4 linked regions of the Saccharomyces cerevisiae S288C genome follow. The protein of the gene in region 3 interacts with the protein of the main gene of each other region in a biochemical or structural test. Each region holds a gene or a part of one and is shown on either strand. Other genes may lie near its edges.

Region 1 (4,747 bases), on a different chromosome or scaffold from region 3:
GTCGATCGTTTCTTATTAACCAATAAAATTTTCCTTTTTTTCATTTATGTTTCACTTGCTATTTTTTTCCTTCCCCGTTATTATTTTTGTTTTAGGGTTTCTGTCCACTTTGAACAGATTGTGTTATTTTCCAAGAACAATACATTATTGTAAAAAAAAAAAAAAAAAAAAACTAAACTAAAAAAAAAAAATTCACTCTTAAAGTTTAGAGTTATGTTCTCTATCTATCTTTATCTTTATTATATACTATTAAAAACCAAGCTTCTGGACATTGTACTATTTTATAATCGAATTTTTTTCTCTTTAATTTTTATAGGAATGCATGTTACTTGTAATTCTTAAATACTAAGATTTAATACCTGTTATATATCTATACGCCATTGTTTTTGAGATTTATCCATGCTCACAATATTATAGGGGTAGAACAGTGGCAATTCAATCAGGTTAAGTCGGTAAATTTTGCGTGATTCTTTTCTATATCAAGGAAAACGCTGTCGTAGGGGATATTAGAATCTTTTCTTAATCTCTTACCCCTCGAATTATATTCGTGACGAGTAGGATTCCGCCTCTTTTCCTTATTCTTGTAAGACGATGTTAGTTTCCACTTGTGTAACTTGAACTTGTCACTCAACCACTGAATGTAATAGCGTTTGTTGTTAAATGGTCCCGAGCACAGCCAAGTATAAAATGTAAATTCACCGTATAATATGAAAAAGCCAAAAATGAATCCGGTAACCACGCAAGACAAGATGTGATTCTCTAGAGTTTTCATAAAATTGGCATCACCCGTATGCCAGGAGGAACCTTTAGATATTGAGAAAAAAGAATTATTATGCATTTTATAATCTGCAGGTTGTAAAATTCTTACCGCACCATTTTCGGCCGTATTAGACCATCTCTTATATTGCTTCCAAACCACACTAATGAATAAGGGGCCCGTAGAGCCCATGATTGTCATATATGGAATGTACCAGTTTTTCTTATAGTGTTTCAACGATTTGATGACCTTCAAGAAGAAGGGGTGCCTTGGAACAGAGCCCATCACATCATTTGACACTCCTGTAGGCGAAGTTTTCCTTAGAAATGCTGGTACTTTCAACAAAGGGTCTAGCCTTCTTTCACAACCATCATCCAAGTCAATGTAAATACCACCATAATGCGAAAGGATGAAATACCGTATTGCATCCGCCCTCTCAATTGGATATTCATAACTCCTAAAGGTGTCAAGAAACCACGGGTATTCCTGTTTAATGAAAGTATCAGACATTTCATCCGTCCATAAAATGTAAGTGTAATCCGGATGTAAATCAATGCACTTCTGCCTCCCTTTTACCCACTGTTCTGGGATATCGTTTGTTTTGTAGGTTTGATGAATGATTTTCGGTATGAGTTGAGGAGGAGACTCATAGAATGTTGAATTGAAGCCATTGGGGGGGTTCAGCTGTTCATCTGTTAGCGCATCTTTGGAAGTATCATCTATACATAACGTCAACAAATCAAATGTGTAATGTATTATAGAGATAAGTAATGCAATGTTCGCTATTATAAGAATTTTCAACTCCTTCTTCATCACGTATTAATTGGTTTACTGTAACTACTTTAGCACTGTTGTAAGGTGCACCGCTTCGCACTGCCTTGTTCGGTTGTTGAAATTATATTATATACGGTCAGCGCTCCTTGAGGAAGCTAATAAAAATCGTGTTGCGATGTAAATAATGAAGGAAATAAAAACAATACCCGTCTCGGTTATTCAACGGTGACAATGAAACTCTTCAAAATTCAAAGAGCAATGAATTTGCGGAGGTCAAAAACAAGAACAGAGAAAAAAACCAAGGGCGAGTCAGATGCGAAACGGCTTTAAACAAGCGAACTCCTTATAGTCAAAGAAGTTCAATTGAGGCCCCAGCATACAATGCGTTATTTCGTTTTGTTTTTCGTTTGTCTTTTTCCTCTTCGCTTTTTTTTTTTTTTTTTTTTTTTTCATTTTCTTTGATAATACGACCTCGGTAAATACGTCATGGAACACGCCCAGCTTTTAACCCCTGAAAAGCTCTCACTTTTACTTTCGCGTATAACTGAATGTTCCGTATATGACGATGAATATATTTTCTGATGGAGTTACCCATCATAATGTTGAAACTGAGTATATTGTATTCACTATATACTTTACTAGGCTATAATGACAGTGCAGTAGCATTTGTAATATAATAGCGAAATAGATTATAATGCTTATGATTCTTGGAAGTAGGGGTGGATGGCTGCTCTTCTGGCGCTAATCCGGTTAATAGGGTCATACGCGAGGAGTTTGTCCAACAAATCAATACCGCGTGGATCTAGACTTGGTACCACTTGTGATAGGTCTTTTCTGCGCCATTGAGGAAAGCTTGGCTTGAAATCAGGCAAGTAGACAATATCTGGCCATATAGCTTCATTCGGCGTTCCCAATACTCTGAATATCTTGAAAATCTGATCGATCTCACTATCGCCACTGAAGATTGGTTTCCTGTTACACATTTCGGCAAATATACAGCCGATGGACCATGTATCGACACCTGTACTATATTGTTTTCCACCCAGTAATACCTCCGGAGCTCTATACCATAGAGTAACAATTTCATGTGTGTAAGCTCTCAACGGAACACCAAAAGCACGCGCTAAGCCAAAATCACCTAGTTTTAGATTCCCATCTTTGTTAATCAATAAGTTCTGCGGTTTTAAATCACGATGCAGAATACGGTGTGAGTGGCAGTATGCAATACCCTTACAAAGTTGCATCATAAACTTCTTAACAATATCAGCTCCTAACGGTTGGTCCTTTGGAATACCCTCCATATATCTTTTCAGGTCCAAATCGAGGAACTCAAAAACAAGATATAGCTTGTGTGCATCAGAGTGAACAATATCGTATAATCTGACAATATTATCGTCTTTTAATTCCTTCAATAATGAGATTTCTCTGATGGCTGTACTGGGAACACCCTCGTCTTCACTCTCTAGTCTTATTTTCTTCAATGCGACTACTCTTTGACCTTGGCCAGGTCTTAAGTCTAACGCTTTATAAACAACACCGTATGTACCTTCACCGACTTTCTCAAGTCTTTTGTAATTTGCTAATTCACCGCTCATGTTCGAAGGATAGTTCTATTTGATCTGGGCTATTTTCCACTGTAGCTGATGTGCTGGCTTGAATATTTTTTCCAATATGATATTCTGGAAAAGCAGTATTAAATTTTCTTTCAAGAGGACTTGGTCCTTCCACCAATTTTTTTTTTTGAGTTCTTGTTGTTTTCCAAATTTTTCTCTTTTTTTCTCATTTAGGTTCGTTTTTATTTTTGGCGTTTGTTGCCCTAATAAGGCCATATATGTATATATTGGTACATAAGCAAGTATAATACATAAGCCATGCTTTTCTTGTAAATATATATATATATATATATATATGTATTGTATAAAAACTATCTCGAGAACGATAATTCTATTCCTTTTTAACCTGTCTTGCGGCTTTTTTTAAGGCTCTAATTCTGATAGATTTATGGAAGGAATAATTAATGGAGTTAACAATCTTAGAGTAAACGCCAAAGGTCTCTGTAATTACAAATTGATACACTGCGTGCGCCCAGTAAGGGGTCATAGTAGCGTATCTTTCTTGAGAGCCGCAGCGTCTGCCAACGCTTCTTAAAGTGGATTTTACAAACTGTTGTGGATTTGGGATCATTAAAGATGATCTTCTGATTTTAGACATCGAGCTAGTGACCAAATATGAAATGATTAATTCAACATCGATAGCATCTTTAGATAATTCCCCAGCCAAAGAGTTAGACCAACCTTGTAAGAATGATTTCGAACCACTGTATGTAGCCAAAAGTGGGGTGGGAATCAGACCACCAAATGAGCCCATGGTTAAGATCAAACCACGAGTACCCGACTTCTTGTTTTCAGCTTTCACAGTTTCCACAATCTTTGGTGCAATGATTTGTGTAATTAATAATGTAGCAGTGTTATTGATAGTGATAATATTTCTAAGCTCCTTCTCTTCTGTTTCCAAAAATGGAACAGGAATGGAGTGTGATTGACCAACATTATTGACCAAAACGGTGATTGGTAACTGCGCACACAATTCCTTAATGGATTCATAGTTGGATTCTTTATCCTCCGCAATGTCAATGGCTAGAATCTTTACAACGACATGATGTTGATCTTCTAGTTCTTTTTGTAAAGCCTCCAATTTAGATTGCGTTCTCGAGATCAATACCAAGTTGAAGCCACGTTTCGCCATTTGTCTAGCAAATTCTTTACCAATACCGTCACTTGCACCAGTGATAGCACAGTATTTACCAGTTTTAGCACCATACTTGTCGAAATTGACTGCTGGTAGTAAAAAAAGATCAAAAATAAGAGCTAAAAATCTAAGTGATAACGTTGTACATTTTAAGACACCAAGCCCAAAAACAACCCATAAAAGACCATTGATACACCTAAATCTTTCCCCAGCCTCTTGAAGCTGTTGCATAAAAGTCATTTCTTAAGCTGCACCGACACGAATTGATTGCTTTGAAGACTGTTCTTCTATCTGTGTTTCCTTCAGTCTCTTTTGAAGTTGCATTTCTGCAACGCTTTTATTCGTGAAATCTCTAAAAAAGCGAAAAATAAAAAGGCCTCCCGCGGACTTAAAACAGAACATCCGAAACATTACAAAAGGCCCCTACAATTATCTCTATAAAGGACTTCCAAATCCGAGACATTGATT
Region 2 (5,064 bases), on a different chromosome or scaffold from region 3:
GAGTGGTTACCTATAATAAAAGTATCTGGTGGGAACTCTGCTGTATTGACCTGCGGAGATTTTAGTAAGTCCTCACTTGAATACACGACGGTTGCGGGGGCAATCACTTCGTGCGTCACCTTGACTGGGAAAAATCTCCCATTGTGTTCCAAATGAGGTACTTGTCTTTTCAAAGCAGGATGGGGTCTTAAAAGGATAGAAGGTATTATAACTTGCTCCTTTAACGATGATTGCACTTCAGGCGGGTAGATAGACCACGATTTGCGCTTCCTTGCATCTATGCCGAGACCTTTAATACTTTCACTCAGTAAAATATAACAAAGAGCACCATTGCCGCATCCCAAATCTCTAAATTGCATTTTTGAACGGAAGTCTGGACCGTACACTTTAATCCATAATTCAATCAGGAAAGCGGCAATGGCTATGTCTTCAAAAACATGTTTTTTTGGGTCTGTAGACTCTGCCCAATTCTCCACCAGGAACTTGGAGTATTTTTTCTTCAAAACAATGTATGTGTTCTGAAAATTGACTTTATTTACCACTTGATCGTGATTGACCCTCTTTTCATAACCCTGCATCACACCCTTTGAGTGTTTGTTAGCAGTTTGTAATAACCTATAAGCGGTTCTTACAACACGCTCAGATTCATCTGTAAAGGCAGTTTTATCCTCGGGGAAGGGAATGTAGTGTACAGAAAGAACTGACTGGTGTAACAAAATGCCTACACTTTGCGTTCTTGGAATATAAAACGGACAGTCTTTCTCAGAGTTAATGTGCGGCGTATATACAATCAATGAGGTCTCCTGAAAATTAGGGTCTTTGCTATTTAGGATTAAACATGTTTGGTTTATGATAGCATCTTTGTAAAAATTCCTAGGAATGATCCTTCTTACAAATTCATGAACGGGTGACAATTTTAAACTCTCAGATGTTTCACACGACCTTATGTTTAAATCTTCAATATTTATCTTCTTGACATCTTCTTCACCGCTTTCATTACCATTATCGATCTCAAACTTTTTTAATACGGACTCGTCAAATTTTGGCTCAGACCCAGCTTCTGCAGCATGATTGATCTCTTTCAAAATATCCGCTCTTAATATGACAGTAGAGTTAATATTTGGTTCTCTAATAACGTTCATCATTGCTTGCTCGAAGTGGGACTTTGCGAATGTTACTTTCCCATCCGTTTGGTAAAGGCTTAACCATTGAGGTCCTAGAATACTTTTATCATTCACAATAAACTTGAAGCGATCTTTGTGTTGATTTTGATTGTTTTTAGAAATATGTGCACTACCGTCGCCAGTCATTGTTGAGAGAAAGGAGAAGTATCACAAGATAGCAATATAATCGGACCAAATGCGTTGTCTATCTTGCGTAATGGAAATCGCATTTTCTAAATGATATGGTTTATTTCAAAGAATAATGTCATCGGGTTTTCCAAAATGCAAAAAATGAAATTTTTAACAATGCAGAGCAAAAAAGTGAAGAATAAGTGCACTACTAAAACCAAAAAAACAGGAAGAAGGTGCAAAAACGCAAAAAGTAGTTACCATAGTCCGTCCAGACACGTTAAATGAATTGATAGACACGGAGGGATAGACAGGCCGGATGCGCTACTTCTATCTATCCTAGACCCTTTGCTTGTCCTCTGTGTGCAGTTCATTTTCCGTACAAATCACCATACACGTAGACTCGTAAGCCCGTAGCTTTCTAATTGAAAGATAACAAAGGGAATCCAGTTTTACCATATAGCGTATAATTGCAGATAAGGGATATATAGCGCGGCAAACTGGGCAAACTTGAGCAATACCAATGTCTTCTTCTTCACAGTATGTAGTTTTCTAGTCAAGTATCATTGGAAAGTAAAGAACTAGAAATGATGAATACTAACATATATACGAGAAAAAATCAACCTCGAGCTCTATGAACAGATTTAAGCAGTTAGAAAAGCTTGGCAATGGTACGTATGCCACAGTGTACAAGGGACTGAACAAAACCACAGGGGTATATGTTGCCCTGAAAGAGGTAAAACTGGATTCAGAGGAAGGTACACCCTCTACGGCCATCCGTGAGATCTCCCTAATGAAAGAATTGAAACATGAGAACATTGTTAGACTTTATGACGTTATTCACACAGAGAACAAGTTGACTTTGGTTTTTGAATTCATGGACAACGATTTAAAGAAATACATGGATTCCCGCACCGTGGGCAACACACCAAGAGGGCTAGAACTAAACTTGGTTAAATACTTCCAGTGGCAACTACTGCAAGGGCTGGCCTTTTGCCATGAAAACAAGATTCTCCACCGTGATTTAAAACCTCAAAACCTATTAATCAACAAGAGAGGCCAGTTGAAATTGGGTGATTTCGGTCTGGCCCGTGCTTTCGGTATTCCGGTCAACACATTTTCAAGCGAAGTCGTAACGTTGTGGTACCGTGCTCCTGATGTGCTAATGGGTTCTAGGACGTACTCCACATCCATTGATATATGGTCGTGTGGGTGCATTCTTGCGGAAATGATAACGGGTAAGCCTTTGTTTCCTGGCACCAACGACGAAGAACAACTGAAATTGATCTTCGACATCATGGGCACTCCTAATGAGTCCCTATGGCCCAGTGTAACAAAGTTACCCAAATACAACCCAAATATCCAGCAACGACCACCAAGAGACCTACGTCAAGTATTGCAACCACACACCAAAGAACCGCTAGACGGGAATCTCATGGATTTCTTACACGGACTCTTGCAACTTAATCCGGATATGAGGCTGAGCGCCAAGCAGGCTCTGCATCACCCTTGGTTTGCAGAGTACTACCACCACGCTTCATAACGCAGCCCGTCAGCGAAAAACCGTAGCCATGTATATATAATGATAATAATCATCTATAATACACTACTATTACTTTAGTCTCATCTTACGACAGCCTTTACGACGGCTTTTACCGCCTTAAAGGCGGACAGGCTTTGTCTTCCGGAACGGAAAAACATGAAAATTTTTTATTTTTTTTCATTCGTTTATACCGCGAGTGAAAAAAAAAAAAAAGGAAACTGGAAACCTCTCGAATAACGATCGGTGAATGCTTCCCAAGCTGTTTTCGGTCTTCGTGTTGTGTCAAGTGAGAGAGCAGAACGTAAACGCAAACACAACGTCGGTTCTTTCCGTTGGCGTTCGTTGTTTGTTTATTCTCGTTTCTTTGAACCTGTTTGTTTATTTATTTTTAAACAGTCAATTAGTGAGAGTAACACACTTCTAATCTTGGCCTTCTTATTCGTAGCCACCCAGCTATTTTTGGTCTTGATCAGAACAAAGCAAGCAAAACCAAGAACAAACAGAAAGGGGAGAAATAGTTATCGGTTCGTTCCCTGGTTTTACTTCCTTTTTTTTTTCTTTCATTTTATAACACACAACTCCAGCAGTCTGACGCTCACCAATAAGATCAATTTCGTTTAATTGCTTTGCTCGCCCTCACACACGTTATAGTTATGTCGTCTTCCTCACTTCGAGTTTTAGCTATTGGGAACAACCCGAATATCTTGTTCTACACCTCAAGGTTTCAACTGGCCAAGAATATAGACCTCTACCACGTCAACGATTCAAAATCATGTCAATTTGAAATTGAAACTGAATACTACGGCAAAGACCGGTTCGAATTGGAAAATCATTTCACCTCTATCGAGCACTTGACTGAAGCTTTGAGCTCCAAATCAAGTGAAGCCGTCTTCGACATAATCATCATGAGTGCTCCATCTTTACAGGAATTATCCTCGTTAGCGTCCAAGTTAACGTCCATAATCGATTCGAACACCAAAATTTTCTTAGAAAGCAGTGGTTTCATCCAATTGGAACCGTTTGTCAAATTATCGATGGAATCTCCGCATGTAAACGTTTTCAGTATTTTGACTGATTTGGATATTCGTCAAATCGGTCCAAACCATTTCAAACACTTTCCTAGTACTGCAAAGGAGAACACGATTTACCTCGGCGAAAGTAAGTCCAGCACTGAGAAATATTCATCAGGCGTTATAACATTATTAACCACTTTTGAAAAACTGTTTGCTAAATTGTTTTCCAACATAAAAATCAATTTGTGCAATTTCTCATCAATTGAGTTTCTATCACAACAATGGAAGCTGGCGATTTCCAGAATTTGTTTTGATCCGTTGTTAATCATGTTTGAACAAGAAAACCCAAGTGATCTAGACCAGCAGATCATTGCCAAACCTTTAATATCAGGTCTGGTAACTGAAATCATCACTGTAGCAAAAACAATGGGAGCCAGACTAAACAGTAGTCATGATAATGAAAACTCTCTTTTATCTCTATGGAAGAATTCTTATCATTCAACCAATAAGCCACCTGCATTGGTTTATCATTTCATTCATCAAACAACGCCTTTGAACATCGATATCCTGTTGTTACAAACTATTTTATTAGCCGATGACTTTGGTATCAAAACTCCGTACTTAGAATTTTTATACTCTGTTTTGTCCCAATTTGAAAGATTGAATAGTGGCAAATCTAAATGGTTTATTAGGTCAGATGAAAAAACTCAAATCTTACAAAGCTTGCAAAAATCACAAAAAAATGAATCTGCTTTACAGACTCAAATTACCTCCTTACAAGGTCAAATTAGTAAACTAAGACAAGAGTTGCTTATGCAGGCCAAGCAACATGAAATGGAAACTAATGAGTTAAAGGAGAAACATCAAGTCGCTCTAAAAGCCCAGGCCCAAGCCCAAGCTCAAGCCCAATCTCAAGCTCAAACATCAATTGAAGCACTAACGCCAACTGAAGCAACAAACCAATCCGATACAAATGAATATAAAGCAACAGGAACTCCGAATTTGAGGGACATCGAAGATATGGCACTATATAGTGTAAACTACGGAGACTCTCCAGTGAGATCTCCACCACCTGTTGTAAGCTCTCAGCCACAAATGAACTCACCATTATCCTCACATTCACAAACTTTCGGAGAGAATAATGGCACGAATGACAAATTACTACAAGAACGCGAATTGCAACTCCGTAAAAAGGAATTAGAGCTACAAGAACGTG
Region 3 (5,959 bases):
CTCTTTGGCAATACAATCCAAACCATCACATGTGGGTCCCCAGATGGAAACTTTATATGGATACTCAGATCTTGTTTTGTTGATAGAGTCGAGGACCGCAGTAGTGGATTCAAAATCGTCGTAATGAAATTCCAAATTATGATAAAGGGTTCTTGGATGGGGCTCTTGATGATCGAATAAAATACAATTCATGTTCCCGTATACACCATCGTTAGTGTAAATCATTGCTTCATTCTCAGACAGTTTTCTCTTCGCAATCACATGAGATGCCAAAGTGAACGCTGTAGCTACAAAGTATCTGCCAGGCTCTGCAATTATATCAACACCACAACCTACAGGGAAAAATTCCTCTAGCGCTAGACGCAAAACAGCAGTTGATTCTTTGAAGGATTCAAATTGAAATCCACCACCTACATCCAAAATCTTCAAAGGGGGCAACCCGTATTCGTTAGCAGCTTTGTCAAATACCGTTCTTGCATCTCTAACGGCTTTGTATAAGCTTGTAAAATCAGAAGCGCCTGAACCGACGTGGAAAGAAACACCAGCCAGGTTTAAACCTAGTTCCTTTATAGCCTTTAATAAAACGTCTACGTTTTCCATTTCACAGCCATATTTGGTGGAAAGTCGACATTGAGCGGTAGAGTCATCGGTAGCGATTCTTAATAACAACTGAGACTCAGGATGAAACTTTTTGATTTTATGCAATTCTTCTACATTGTCAAAAGTAGACTTCATTACATTTTTTGAAGCTGCATATCTAATGAAAGATGCTACTTTACAAGGATTAGCGTAAACAATTCTATCCGGCGAGATGTTCATCGATAATACTCTGTCAATTTCCACTTTGGAAGCGCAATCGAAATTAACGCCCAACTCTGCTAATAATGACAAAACCTTGGTATCAGGATTACATTTGACGGCATAAAATGGCTTAATTCTAGGAAGCTCCTTCACCCAGTTGTTGAATAATCTCTTGACTTCTCCCAAATCGCATATGAAAAACGAGTTCTCCTCACCGGGGTCGCACGTTTCATTATTAATTCTACCAATACGAGCCTTGAGCGCTTGAAATATTTTAGGATGCGCTTGTTCATGCGGTAAAAGTTCCAAATCTTGGTTATTCTTTAGTTCAAGCAAAAGATTGTGCAGCGTCTCGCCATCTTTATAATATTGCTTCTTTTGGGTAACCGTAGAATTAGACAAGTCCACTAAAGTAGTAGTGGAACTAGATAGAGCATTTCCTACTTGAGTACTAGACATAGTAAGTTTGAAATTCAAAGGTTTTGATTACTATGAAAAAGTTGTAGAACAATCAAAAAATCTTACCTACTTAAACTTGAAACAAAAGCCGTGCTGAAACCTGGATGATAAACCAAGGAACGAAAAGTTCTTCTGTCCTTTCTATTAACTACACTATTATGATTGAATTTTAAGCTTATTAGAAGCAGGTTCCGCTATTTCAGTGCAATAAATGCTTTTCATTTTCGATTTCAGAATAAAAATCAGGATGACCAATCTATTGCGCAGGAGAAGTTATTAGAATGATTTCACTTCGAAATGGGCGAAAATATCTGCACGGCGCAGATTAAAATTAATCGGTGAAGAAAACGAAGATGCCGCGGCGTGTCGAATGAAAATGAAAGAAAATGAATTTTTATTTGTAGTTTATTTAGCACAGACAAGGAGAGAAATGTACAATTGTTTCGTGATAATGTCTCTTATTAGTTGAAAGAGATTCAGTTATCCATGTATCAATTCTCTACTGTCTCAGTTATGTAATTACAAAATAAGCAACGGTACCCTTCAATTTCGCAGTTGCGTTCGGGGACGAATTCTTTGTCTATTCCATTGGATTTCATAATGTTTATTTCACCCTTTGTGGGGATCTTACGACATAAATCGTTCAAACATCTTGTATGTGTTTTTTTATATCGAAGACCACAAGAGTTACATAGCTGATCTTGCTTTCTTGGCGACCACGATGGCCTCCAACAGGGCGAATCACTCGAATGACACGACACGCACACTCTTGTGGTGTGACGAGTGGGTGATGAGCCACTGGACCTTCTACTTCCCTTTTTCGTTATGCTTGAATTTGATGATCTTCGAGGGCTTTGAGGGGGAGAGTCGAGAGCAAATCTATGATAATTGGGTGACCTTGGGCTTGGAGTGTATGCCTTGGGACGCACAGGTGAGGATGATCTTGATCTCATCTTGCCACTTTTCGTCGGTGTGGAGGGAGATGGAGATGAAGATGCAGAGACAGAACTGTAACTAGCGTTGTCGAGTTTCATCACCAATTGTCTTGCAGTGTTACCGAAAACATTTGATGCTTGCTTTGAGATTTTGTTCTTAGATGGTTTCCTTACATTAGATTTGGAATTGTTCGATAGAATGTCTCTATTCGCAAGCAATTTTTTTATTTGCAAAGCTTTGAAACTGTTCGTCTTTTTGTGACTGGCATTTGGCATGGGAAATGAATTTCCACGTAATTGTCTTTGATGTTTAACTTCTTGAACCAATTTTTCACTAATAATTGGATTGAATATTGAATCGTTATTGCTGGATTTCCCCTCAAAAAAAGAGGCCTCTACTCCTCTAAGCGTCGTGCGCTCCATGGTTCTATTGGTTGGTGGACTCATCGGCGGTGTGACGGGAGGAGTAATACTCCATGCATTGTTGGAAAGATCTTTAAATTGATCTTTAGCTTCTAGAATCGAAGGAATTAGTTTGGTACGATCAAATGATTCCTTAGACGGGGAATGGAACTTGGACGACCTAGTCGATTCCAATTCCTTGCCGTAATTGAAACTATCATTATTTTGATTATTAGTTAAGTTGGGTATACTTAATGGCTTGAAATGAGCCACTTCTTCGCGTATTTTAACATAGTCTTGATAGTTTGTATCCTTACACCAATGGGTAAGATCAGTTTTCCAATTAGATGTACGTTTTGATGTATCAGGGAAGCGTGCTGCGTTTTCTTGTAAAAGAGGACTGGGTAATAATTGCAGATGCCTTAGTGATGGTAGGCTTTGTTGTGGGCGCTCCGGTCTCTTAGATAAAGAGACGGACGATAGCCTGTCTAACAATGGTAGTCGAGGTTGTGAATTAGAGGAAAAACCTAAGCCAGACCCATAGTTCAATGGATTTGTAAAACTAATCTGAGATAAGCTTGCCTTGTTGAATTCTGGTGAATTGCCTGGTGTTAATGAGGAAATTGGATTGTAATCCATATGATGTGGCGATGCTGGTGCAGTATTTGATTTTTTTCCAAGTATTTCGTTAGCCAAAGATATTGGGGAAAGAATTGGCGACACATTGAGCGAATGAAACGAATACTTCCTAGGACTTGCTGAATTTATATTGTTATCGGTTGTGATATTGTTCCTGCTGATATTACTGGATAAATTGGAAAATGAAGGCAATAAAAGATTGTCATAATAGGAGCTATTTGCATGAGAATCCGGACCAGCAGATAATGCATGCAGTGGTGTTTTGATGTATAAGCTTGACATTTTTTTGCTTTTCCCGTTATGAGAAATGTTTTTTTTAGACTGAAAATAAAAGAATGGATAGTATTAAAATAGTAATGAACGTAATAAGGATAGGACAGGAGCGATAGGAAAAGATAGAATTTTGGAGCTTTTTTTCCCTCTTTTTTTGAGCAGGAGCCAATAGTAGTCGGAAAGATGAGTGTATAGATTTTTCGTATTTTATTTCGAGTAAAAATATCACGCTCTTAGGTTCAATAAAAGAATATACTATTTCTTCAAAATGCTTCTCTAATCTATTTTTTTATTTTCCTTAATAACTGAAATATTATTTTTTGATGTAAAATGAGTGAACAAGAATAAAGGATTTTTGGTATGTTTGCAAGTTCTGTGGAGTTCCATGTATAAGGTATACATATTAGAAAAGCTTTACGATTATATACTAACATCATGTACAAAACAGTTTAATAATGATCTGTATTGCTGGCTCAATCCACGTAAGGAAAATGATCAGCCCAATCCTCAAAAATAAAATGGCCCTTCCAAAATTAGAGACATATCGTAGAAATCAGACGCACGCTTGGCGTCAATATCCTAAAACGGAAAACTAATCAGTTAGATGTGTCTTTTTTAGGTAAAAAAAGGCAACCAACTTTTTGCTGGCTAGCGATGCGACAATAAACGCGCGCAGCGAATAAAAATAAGATGGCGGAGGAGCAGAGACTTCTTTTCTTAGAAGAGGTTTTGTTACCGTATGGGGGTATGATGGTTAGATGGCTGAATAAAAACGTTAATTAAAGGAATACAGAAGAGGAAGCGCCCCGATTTCTTTTCTGTTCCACATGAAAGCAGCCGGTTGGGTGGTAGATCTCTAATGACATCCAAACTACAAAACCGAGATTGGACATATAGCACACTCTGCATTTCTACTTTCCTTTCTCCCTACAGTTTGCTCGATCTGAACCGATGCTTCTTTGATTGGACAAGATGATAGACCATGACTCCCTGTATGTATTGCAGAGATTGCCACTACTAACCAAGAAAAGTTGAACGTGTCGTACGTATAAAACGATTTATGCTTAGGCTTTACTGAAAAAAAAAAAGTAAAAAGAGGATGCGCAAACGCATAGAGCAAGTAACTAACCTGTTTTTATAGTATATACTTGGCCCCACCAGGCTGATCGTCAGGCAAAACGCCAAACTAATAACAGTAATAACAGAAATATGAACACCAATAGTAATACTATGGTAATGAATGACGCAAATCAAGCACAAATAACGGCCACATTTACGAAGAAGATATTAGCGCATTTGGATGATCCGGACTCCAACAAATTGGCCCAATTCGTACAGCTTTTTAATCCAAACAACTGCAGAATAATATTTAATGCTACCCCCTTCGCGCAAGCAACAGTTTTTCTGCAAATGTGGCAAAACCAGGTCGTACAAACACAACATGCCCTAACAGGAGTAGACTATCACGCTATTCCGGGATCCGGCACGTTGATATGCAACGTCAATTGCAAAGTCAGATTCGACGAAAGCGGCAGAGACAAGATGGGGCAAGACGCGACTGTTCCCATTCAACCAAATAACACTGGGAACAGAAATCGACCCAACGATATGAACAAGCCAAGACCTCTATGGGGTCCATATTTTGGCATTTCCCTGCAGCTGATCATCGACGACCGCATATTTAGAAATGATTTTAATGGTGTAATATCGGGGTTTAACTATAACATGGTTTACAAACCCGAGGATTCTCTGCTAAAAATTTAGTGGGAAGATTCCGCTCTACCAGGGAAAAACAAAATTATATAGAAAAGAAGGTAAGTAATAAGTAATACGAAAAAACCCAAAAAAAAAATTCAAATACCCCAACCCTGTGCCCTTTCTATTTTTATGGTTGAAAAGGTTACAGAGGATCCTCTGGAGCGGTGACAACAGTTGACGCAATCATGGTCCCTGGCGGTCCCTAAGGATATCTCGGAGGAACCGAGGCACGGAAACGGCTGCACGGGTACGCCAGATAAGGATAATTCAGCCGTCACGCATGAACAGAAGGATGAGCATTTGCTCACCTTCCTGGACTTAACTTGCGTGAATGAAAAGAAGAACACCAATGTTAGAGTAGGGCTTCGCACCAAACTTTAATCAAGAAATCTGAGGAGAAATGATTCTAAGTCTAGCCACGAAAACTGCAAAGCGCACCAAAAGTAAGAAACGACAAAGTTTTTCTAGCATTTTTTTGTTTCATCAAGAGAAGAAACACGATTTATATAACTGTTACCGCTAAAACCTACATCTAAACTTTTTAATATCTGAAAGCGCTAGTCGTGTGTACCCCCCTCAACTGATCAACTGGTCAACGAGCTTTACTTGTGGAAGTTCATGGCAAACGCTCCTTGGCTTTTGCCTAGTCTTGTTCTATGGCACATTTTTCTGTTGAGTTACACCCCGCGTGC
Region 4 (6,143 bases), on a different chromosome or scaffold from region 3:
ACTATTCTCATCGTTTAGAACACCTCTATAGATTAAATCTTTCAAGATGTTTGACCTCAAATGATTACTCCGCACACCGAGTACGAATGAGATAGCATCCATCATATTCGATTTACCAGATCCGTTAGGACCGATAATACTTGTGAAATTCGACTCGCCGAATCCTACCTTGGTAACGCCTCTATAGGACTTGAAATTACTTAGTTCTAAGCCAACTAAACGTCCCATTGCGTCTCCTTGTGCCTGCTTTTTATCAATAGCCTCTGGATGCTTGCTTTAAGTGATTTTATGAGATGTGATATGAGCGTCTTCGGTCTTATAGAATCCAATACTCTATTCACTTTACGCGTTATTGATACTTTTTTTTTTTTTCCCGTACGTGTTTATCATGACAAACGATTACAATTTGAAGAGAAGAGCGATAGAACCAAGCCTTGGAACGTTGAAACATCTAACGATAAAGATTGTGTCATAAAAACACTCATTATTTACATTGTCCAATTTGAGAAATATCATGTGATAATATACTAGTAACATGAATACTACTAATTAGATAATATTAGAACTTTATTCTAACACAATTGTATTAGCTTTTGTATTTCTTCTGCCCACGGGAGGTTGAGCGTAGAACTTCCTAATTCTCAAGAGAATATCGATCTTTTTGAAAAACTGAAAACGGAACAGATGTTTCAAAACATAACGCTTGATAACTTGAAAAAAATCAGCAGAATCAACTTCTTAACGTTAAAAGTTCAAGAAAACTCTTGGGCCAAGAACCATCAGGAATATATTATTTAAAAAATGGTTGCTACTTTCAAGAGCATCGATTTCTTATTTGGCGCGTAAAGAAATTTTAGTCACTTCGGTTATTACGCATTTTTCCAGCTTTTATTTCTTTGATTGCTTTTATATTTTTTTAGATCATTTTCAAAACTTTCTTAAACCCTTCTCAACTAAAAACTTGTACTTTCCATATTTTCAGGGAAGAAACATTAATTAATAAACGGCACCCTTTTTGTAAACACAATTAAAATTGAACATACAAGCAGTTTAGCTGCAGTTTATATTCAATAAAATGTACGAAGTTGTTATTGTACTTTTTTACTGATTATATAACTACTTATTAAGCTATATTATCTAAGTATGAGTCAATGCTTATTCTCTGGGAAAGGTCATGGTATTATAGTTGTCCTCGTTAGACCCAAAGAAGTAGAAATGGATTCCAAAGACGACGACGAGGAGTTTACGGGATTGCTAACGTAGTTAATTTTTGAAGCTTTGCTGAAATCCAGAATTTCTAAAAAGCTCTGTCCATCTTTTTCAACTGCTGCAACAAGTGTTTTGCCCTTAAAATTAACCGACCAAATCTGATCAGCATCTTTTAGAATATTTGCGTGGACCAATTTCCCACTCCGTAGATTATAGATGTTGAACTGATTTTCCGATCCACTCACCAAAATATTATCCGATACATAAAATGTGGTAATTGCACTCAAATTGGTATGATGGTAGGAAAATTTTCTAGAGTAGTCGTTTGCGTCCCAACCCCTTATTGAACCGTCTGCAGCGGCACTGACCAAAAATTTGTCGGATAATCTTAATAAACCGACCAAAGCTGTATGACCCTGCAAAGTGTACATAGCACCAAGTATTTTGGCGCATGGCGATGCTGAATTTGTTGCGTAGGAACATTCTCCATTATTCCATATATTTTCCAAATCCCAAATTCTAATAGTGGTATCCATACTGGCAGAGATGCACCTTTTTCTTTCATGATCGTAGATTGTCGAATAAATACGATCCGTATGTCCACTTAAAATATACAAACATTTCATTTGCGCAACATCCCACACAATCAGTGTATTATCATAGGAGCCACTAACGACAATATTACCGTGGCCTGAGACAGTTCTTACAGATGCCATATGTCCTCTTAAAACACCAACAAAATATGGGTTCTCCTCAGGGGTATGAAAGACTAATGGATAATCATGTTCTTCCCCATGATCAGGAACGGAGGACTCCTTGGGCAATTTCCAAACGTGCAAAGTGTTATCTCTCGAACCAGTAACAATGTACTTGATATTTTTATATTCTACTATATCTAGGCACCTCACCGTAGAGTTATGACCTTTAAACACATGGGTACAACAACCTTTCTTAATATCCCAAACTCGCACCGTTCTGTCTGTAGAACCGCTGACTAAAATACCGCCATGGGCATACTTCAATGCCCAAACCCCACCATCATGACCTGATAGTTGTAGAAGAAATTTCTTGTTTATCGAATCATAAACTCTGATCATTTTGTCATCAGCCCCCGTAATGACATAATTATCTTCAAATTGCAAGCACGTAATAACACTCGTCATATGGCCTCTTAACGTGGTCCTTTGTGGTACAAACTTGGGATTGTACCAATTTTTTAAAATGAATATATTCTCCAGAAAAGATAATCTAAGGCGATCTTGTTGTGAGAGTTTTGGGTATTTTTGGGAGAGTTTGAGATTGAGAGAATTAAAACCCTTTGGGCTCACAAAATTTTCCGATATCAGAAGTTTTTTCCACAACGATGTAGATTTTCTAATTATTTTGTTCCAATTTTGGGAGACCCCAAGGGAATTTATAATATCCTCGAATTGCAAATAATTGAAAATTTTCAAACTTATTTCAAAAGGCAAAGACGTTATTAGGTCCCTCTTTAAATTATCCTTGATTAAAGTCCCCAAGTCGGATAGTTCACTCCTATCCATGTTGGCAACTAATCTAAATAATAAATTTTTGAAGTATGCGTGAGGGAGATTATTGTTTATTGCGCTGAAAATCTCATCAGAAAGGTATTCAGGGGAGATTATAGAATCTTTGGATTCTATCAAATCGGCGATATTATTATTGTTGTTGATAGTTTTCGTAGTTTTAGCTAAAGGAGTTGTGGTACCTGGAGAGGAAGCAGTGGGTGATAACGGCAGCGCTCCTTCCTCCATAGGATTGTTAATAGTAGCACTATTAACATTGTTACTAACATCACTGCCAGTTATTGTTGCCGCATTGACGGTAGTGGGAGCAGCAACATTATGAGATGCCACTCCCATGTTTACACTCAATGTAGAAGGTGCGGCAGAACCATCATCCACAGACATCAAAAGTTTTTCTGCATCGTTGGATATATCTGTTAAATTGTGCAGACCGTCATTATCCACAGACGCTGCACCGGTGTTCTGTAAGTTAACTGGATGGAGGGTTTTGTGATTATCATGTTTTACCCTTTTGAAATCACTGCGTTCAGGAGTGGATTCGCCAGAACCAGCTGCTCTTTTCCTCTGATACTCATCGATATCTTCTTCGCCGTCTTCTGTCTCAACTGTCTTAGCCGTGGACGAGTTTCGATGAGTGCCAGCGGCAGTAACAAGCGCAGTAACACTACCTGAGGAAGCTATACCGCCAGACACACGGTAGCTATAAGGAACAGGGATATCACGTAATGGAAACTCAGCTAAGGGAAACGACCCCATCGTACAGCGTAATTTTTGCCTTTCTTTGATTCTTTATGCGTAATTTTCTTCGAACCGCAACAAGTTGAATGAGGAGAAGAAGAAGAGAATACTGTAAATAAACGTTTTTTTCCCAAAAAAGACACTATATTTTAAGCACACAGAAAAAGACACGCTTTGTTGAGCAATCTATATTCATATAACAGTGGTAATAGCCTTTCTCTCACAAGATATACAAGCGCTGTGACGTTTTAACGTATTCAGTATTATTTCAACAGGCTTTTTTGTTTCGTCCACCTGACCGAGCCGGCAGCTGGAAGAAAAAGTTTACTTTAGTCATGATAATCAAAAGACTCTTTCTGAATTGCTTTTATCACTCACTACAAGAGAGTCGATAAAAAAACCCAAAACATTTTAAAGTAATGGCTCAAAGTAAAAGTAATCCTCCTCAAGTGCCTTCTGGCTGGAAGGCTGTTTTTGATGATGAATACCAGACTTGGTATTATGTAGATTTATCTACGAACAGCTCTCAGTGGGAACCACCAAGGGGAACAACATGGCCAAGACCCAAAGGTCCTCCACCAGGTGTTAACAATGAGAAGAGTTCTCGTCAACAGGCAGACCAGGCTCCTCCACCTTATTCTTCTCAATCAACACCGCAAGTGCAAGCAGGGGCCCAAGCACAGCAACCTCGTTACTATCAGCCTCAACAGCCTCAGTACCCTCAATACCCTCAACAGCAGCGTTACTATCCTCAACAAGCCCCTATGCCAGCAGCAGCACCACAGCAAGCATACTATGGAACTGCGCCAAGCACCAGTAAAGGTAGTGGACACGGCGGTGCCATGATGGGTGGTTTACTTGGTGTTGGTGCGGGTTTGTTAGGTGGAGCTATGCTAGAACACGCATTTGACGACCACAACTATGACGGACCAGACACTGTCGTTGTCGAGAACAATTACTACGGTGATGATGCTGGTGGGTCCGACGGCGGATTTGATGATGCTGGTGGGTTCGACGGCGGATTTGATGATGGATTTGACGGTAGTGACTTTTAATGTTATCAAGACTTTTTGGACAAGGACGATAAAATGATATAAGCTCATCAAATCTATATTGCTTGCTGCCATCTAAATATGGATACATACAGATATATACTTGCAAAGATCGGTCCATTATACTACATAGAAAGCAATTAAAAGATAAAAAAACCCATCATGATATTCTACGCTTTTTTACTTAGCCATGTTGTTGAATGTAGCTTCAATTACTTCTGTCTGTCTAATTTATTGCTACTTTTTCACTTCTAAGTGAACCATCACAACACATATAGCATAGTCGAGAAAAAAATCAATAGCTATTACTAGATGATAGATACCGTATATGCCACCTACAGCTTACTAGAGAGCTTCCGGAATGATAGTATCATTTATCAAACTACCGGTATGGTTGTGTATTGACTGCGCCTCTCAATCTATGAAGCAGCACCACGCCTTATCGTGGCTATGCGCGATATGACCGAGCTTTACAACATACTTTTCAATAAGCCGTTCTTTGAATAATGGACCCTTTCCTATAACCTAGTGCGCGTTTAAGGTGTTTTGTTCCAATAATAGAAGCACCTATCCACATACTTCACATACAGATACACTAACTAATACCACCGATGAAGCGGAAACAATGATAAATGCAAAGCCTTGGAACATCGACAGGACTACCCGAAAATAATATGTGTGTTTACTAACAACGCAGTAATAAAGCTTTCATAACGGTAAAAAGAGGTAAGATCCTGTATAAACTGGTCTCTAGTTACTTATATCTCAAAACATTATATATGTCGATGGTACAAGTTTGACCTTACATTGCCTGATTTTTTCAGAAAGATAGCAGGTAGTTGTTATACTACAGTAATTTACTATAGCTAATCTTCATTTTAAAGTGCCCACTTCTTTTTTTTTTTGAAATTATTTCTGAGTAGTAGCTAGCTTATAAACTACTTATATGCATTTATTCACCGGCGTCGCAAATGTGTCCGTCTTATTTTTTTTAATTTTTTTTTCAATTTGTGACGCCATTAATAAAGGCTATTATATAAAACCAATCTCCATGAAATAGAAGTAAAGCATCAATCCATTATCTGTTGTTATTTCTGTTTACCAGAGTACAAGAATATTTAGAAATTATTTACTATCAACAATAACTAATGGTGTACTGCTTGTTGGTTGTGGTGTTCTTCTAGAACTGGGAATCCAACCTCCGGACTTCCATGGCTTTATTCTTTCTTCGTACATTTCATTAACTTCCTCCAGAGTTAATCCCTTTGTTTCGCAAACAAAGAAGAAAACGTAGAAGTACGAAAAGATTAAGCAACCCATGAAAACATAGCCATAAGAAAATCCTATGGATCTAGTGATAAAGGGTGTGAAAAATCCAATCAAGAAACCCCACATCCAGTTCGCACCAACCGCAATGGCCATGGCACGATTTTTAACTCTTAATGGATAAGTTTCTGCCACAATGACATAGGCGATAGGAGCCCAAGTAATGGCAAAAGAGAAAATGAAGAAACAAGTAAAAACGATCATAACATTACCAGCACTTTGCGAAGAAGGTTGGTCTTTCCCTTGTGGCCATAATCTAGTGACGCCAACG

The links.
Region 1: of the proteins of ASH1 (region 3) and CDC28, one has a biochemical effect on the other in vitro, tested with the Saccharomyces cerevisiae proteins (6 studies listed by BioGRID).
Region 2: of the proteins of ASH1 (region 3) and PHO85, one has a biochemical effect on the other in vitro, tested with the Saccharomyces cerevisiae proteins (2 studies listed by BioGRID).
Region 4: the proteins of ASH1 (region 3) and CDC4 form a complex in vitro, tested with the Saccharomyces cerevisiae proteins (2 studies listed by BioGRID, with this or other methods).

What each region holds. Positions count from the first base shown.
Region 1 is NC_001134.8:558,457-563,203, reverse strand, and holds CDC28 (cyclin-dependent serine/threonine-protein kinase CDC28), read right to left. Parts: upstream 3,127-4,747; coding exon 2,230-3,126; downstream 1-2,229. Other genes in the region: TOS1 (Tos1p), read left to right, coding at 1-1; mannosylinositol phosphorylceramide synthase catalytic subunit CSH1, read right to left, coding at 440-1,570; IFA38 (ketoreductase), read right to left, coding at 3,476-4,519. UniProt on the Saccharomyces cerevisiae protein: Cyclin-dependent kinase that acts as a master regulator of the mitotic and meiotic cell cycles. Required to drive the G1-S transition. More than 200 substrates have been identified. Substrate specificity is in part regulated by the bound cyclin protein.
Region 2 is NC_001148.4:489,789-494,852, reverse strand, and holds PHO85 (cyclin-dependent serine/threonine-protein kinase PHO85), read left to right. Parts: upstream 1-1,815; coding exon 1,816-1,832; intron 1,833-1,934; coding exon 1,935-2,835; downstream 2,836-5,064. Other genes in the region: TRM44 (tRNA (uracil) methyltransferase), read right to left, coding at 1-1,310; SVL3 (Svl3p), read left to right, coding at 3,489-5,064.
Region 3 is NC_001143.9:92,058-98,016, reverse strand, and holds ASH1 (DNA-binding transcription repressor ASH1), read right to left. Parts: upstream 3,519-5,959; coding exon 1,752-3,518; downstream 1-1,751. Other genes in the region: ornithine decarboxylase SPE1, read right to left, coding at 1-1,260; MTR2 (Mtr2p), read left to right, coding at 4,719-5,273. UniProt on the Saccharomyces cerevisiae protein: Component of the RPD3C(L) histone deacetylase complex (HDAC). Responsible for the deacetylation of lysine residues on the N-terminal part of the core histones (H2A, H2B, H3 and H4).
Region 4 is NC_001138.5:113,514-119,656, reverse strand, and holds CDC4 (SCF ubiquitin ligase complex subunit CDC4), read right to left. Parts: upstream 3,513-6,143; coding exon 1,173-3,512; downstream 1-1,172. Other genes in the region: cohesin subunit SMC1, read right to left, coding at 1-228; WWM1 (Wwm1p), read left to right, coding at 3,914-4,549; AUA1 (Aua1p), read right to left, coding at 4,383-4,667; hexose transporter HXT10, read right to left, coding at 5,672-6,143. UniProt on the Saccharomyces cerevisiae protein: Substrate recognition component of a SCF (SKP1-CUL1-F-box protein) E3 ubiquitin-protein ligase complex which mediates the ubiquitination and subsequent proteasomal degradation of target proteins. Recognizes and binds to phosphorylated target proteins.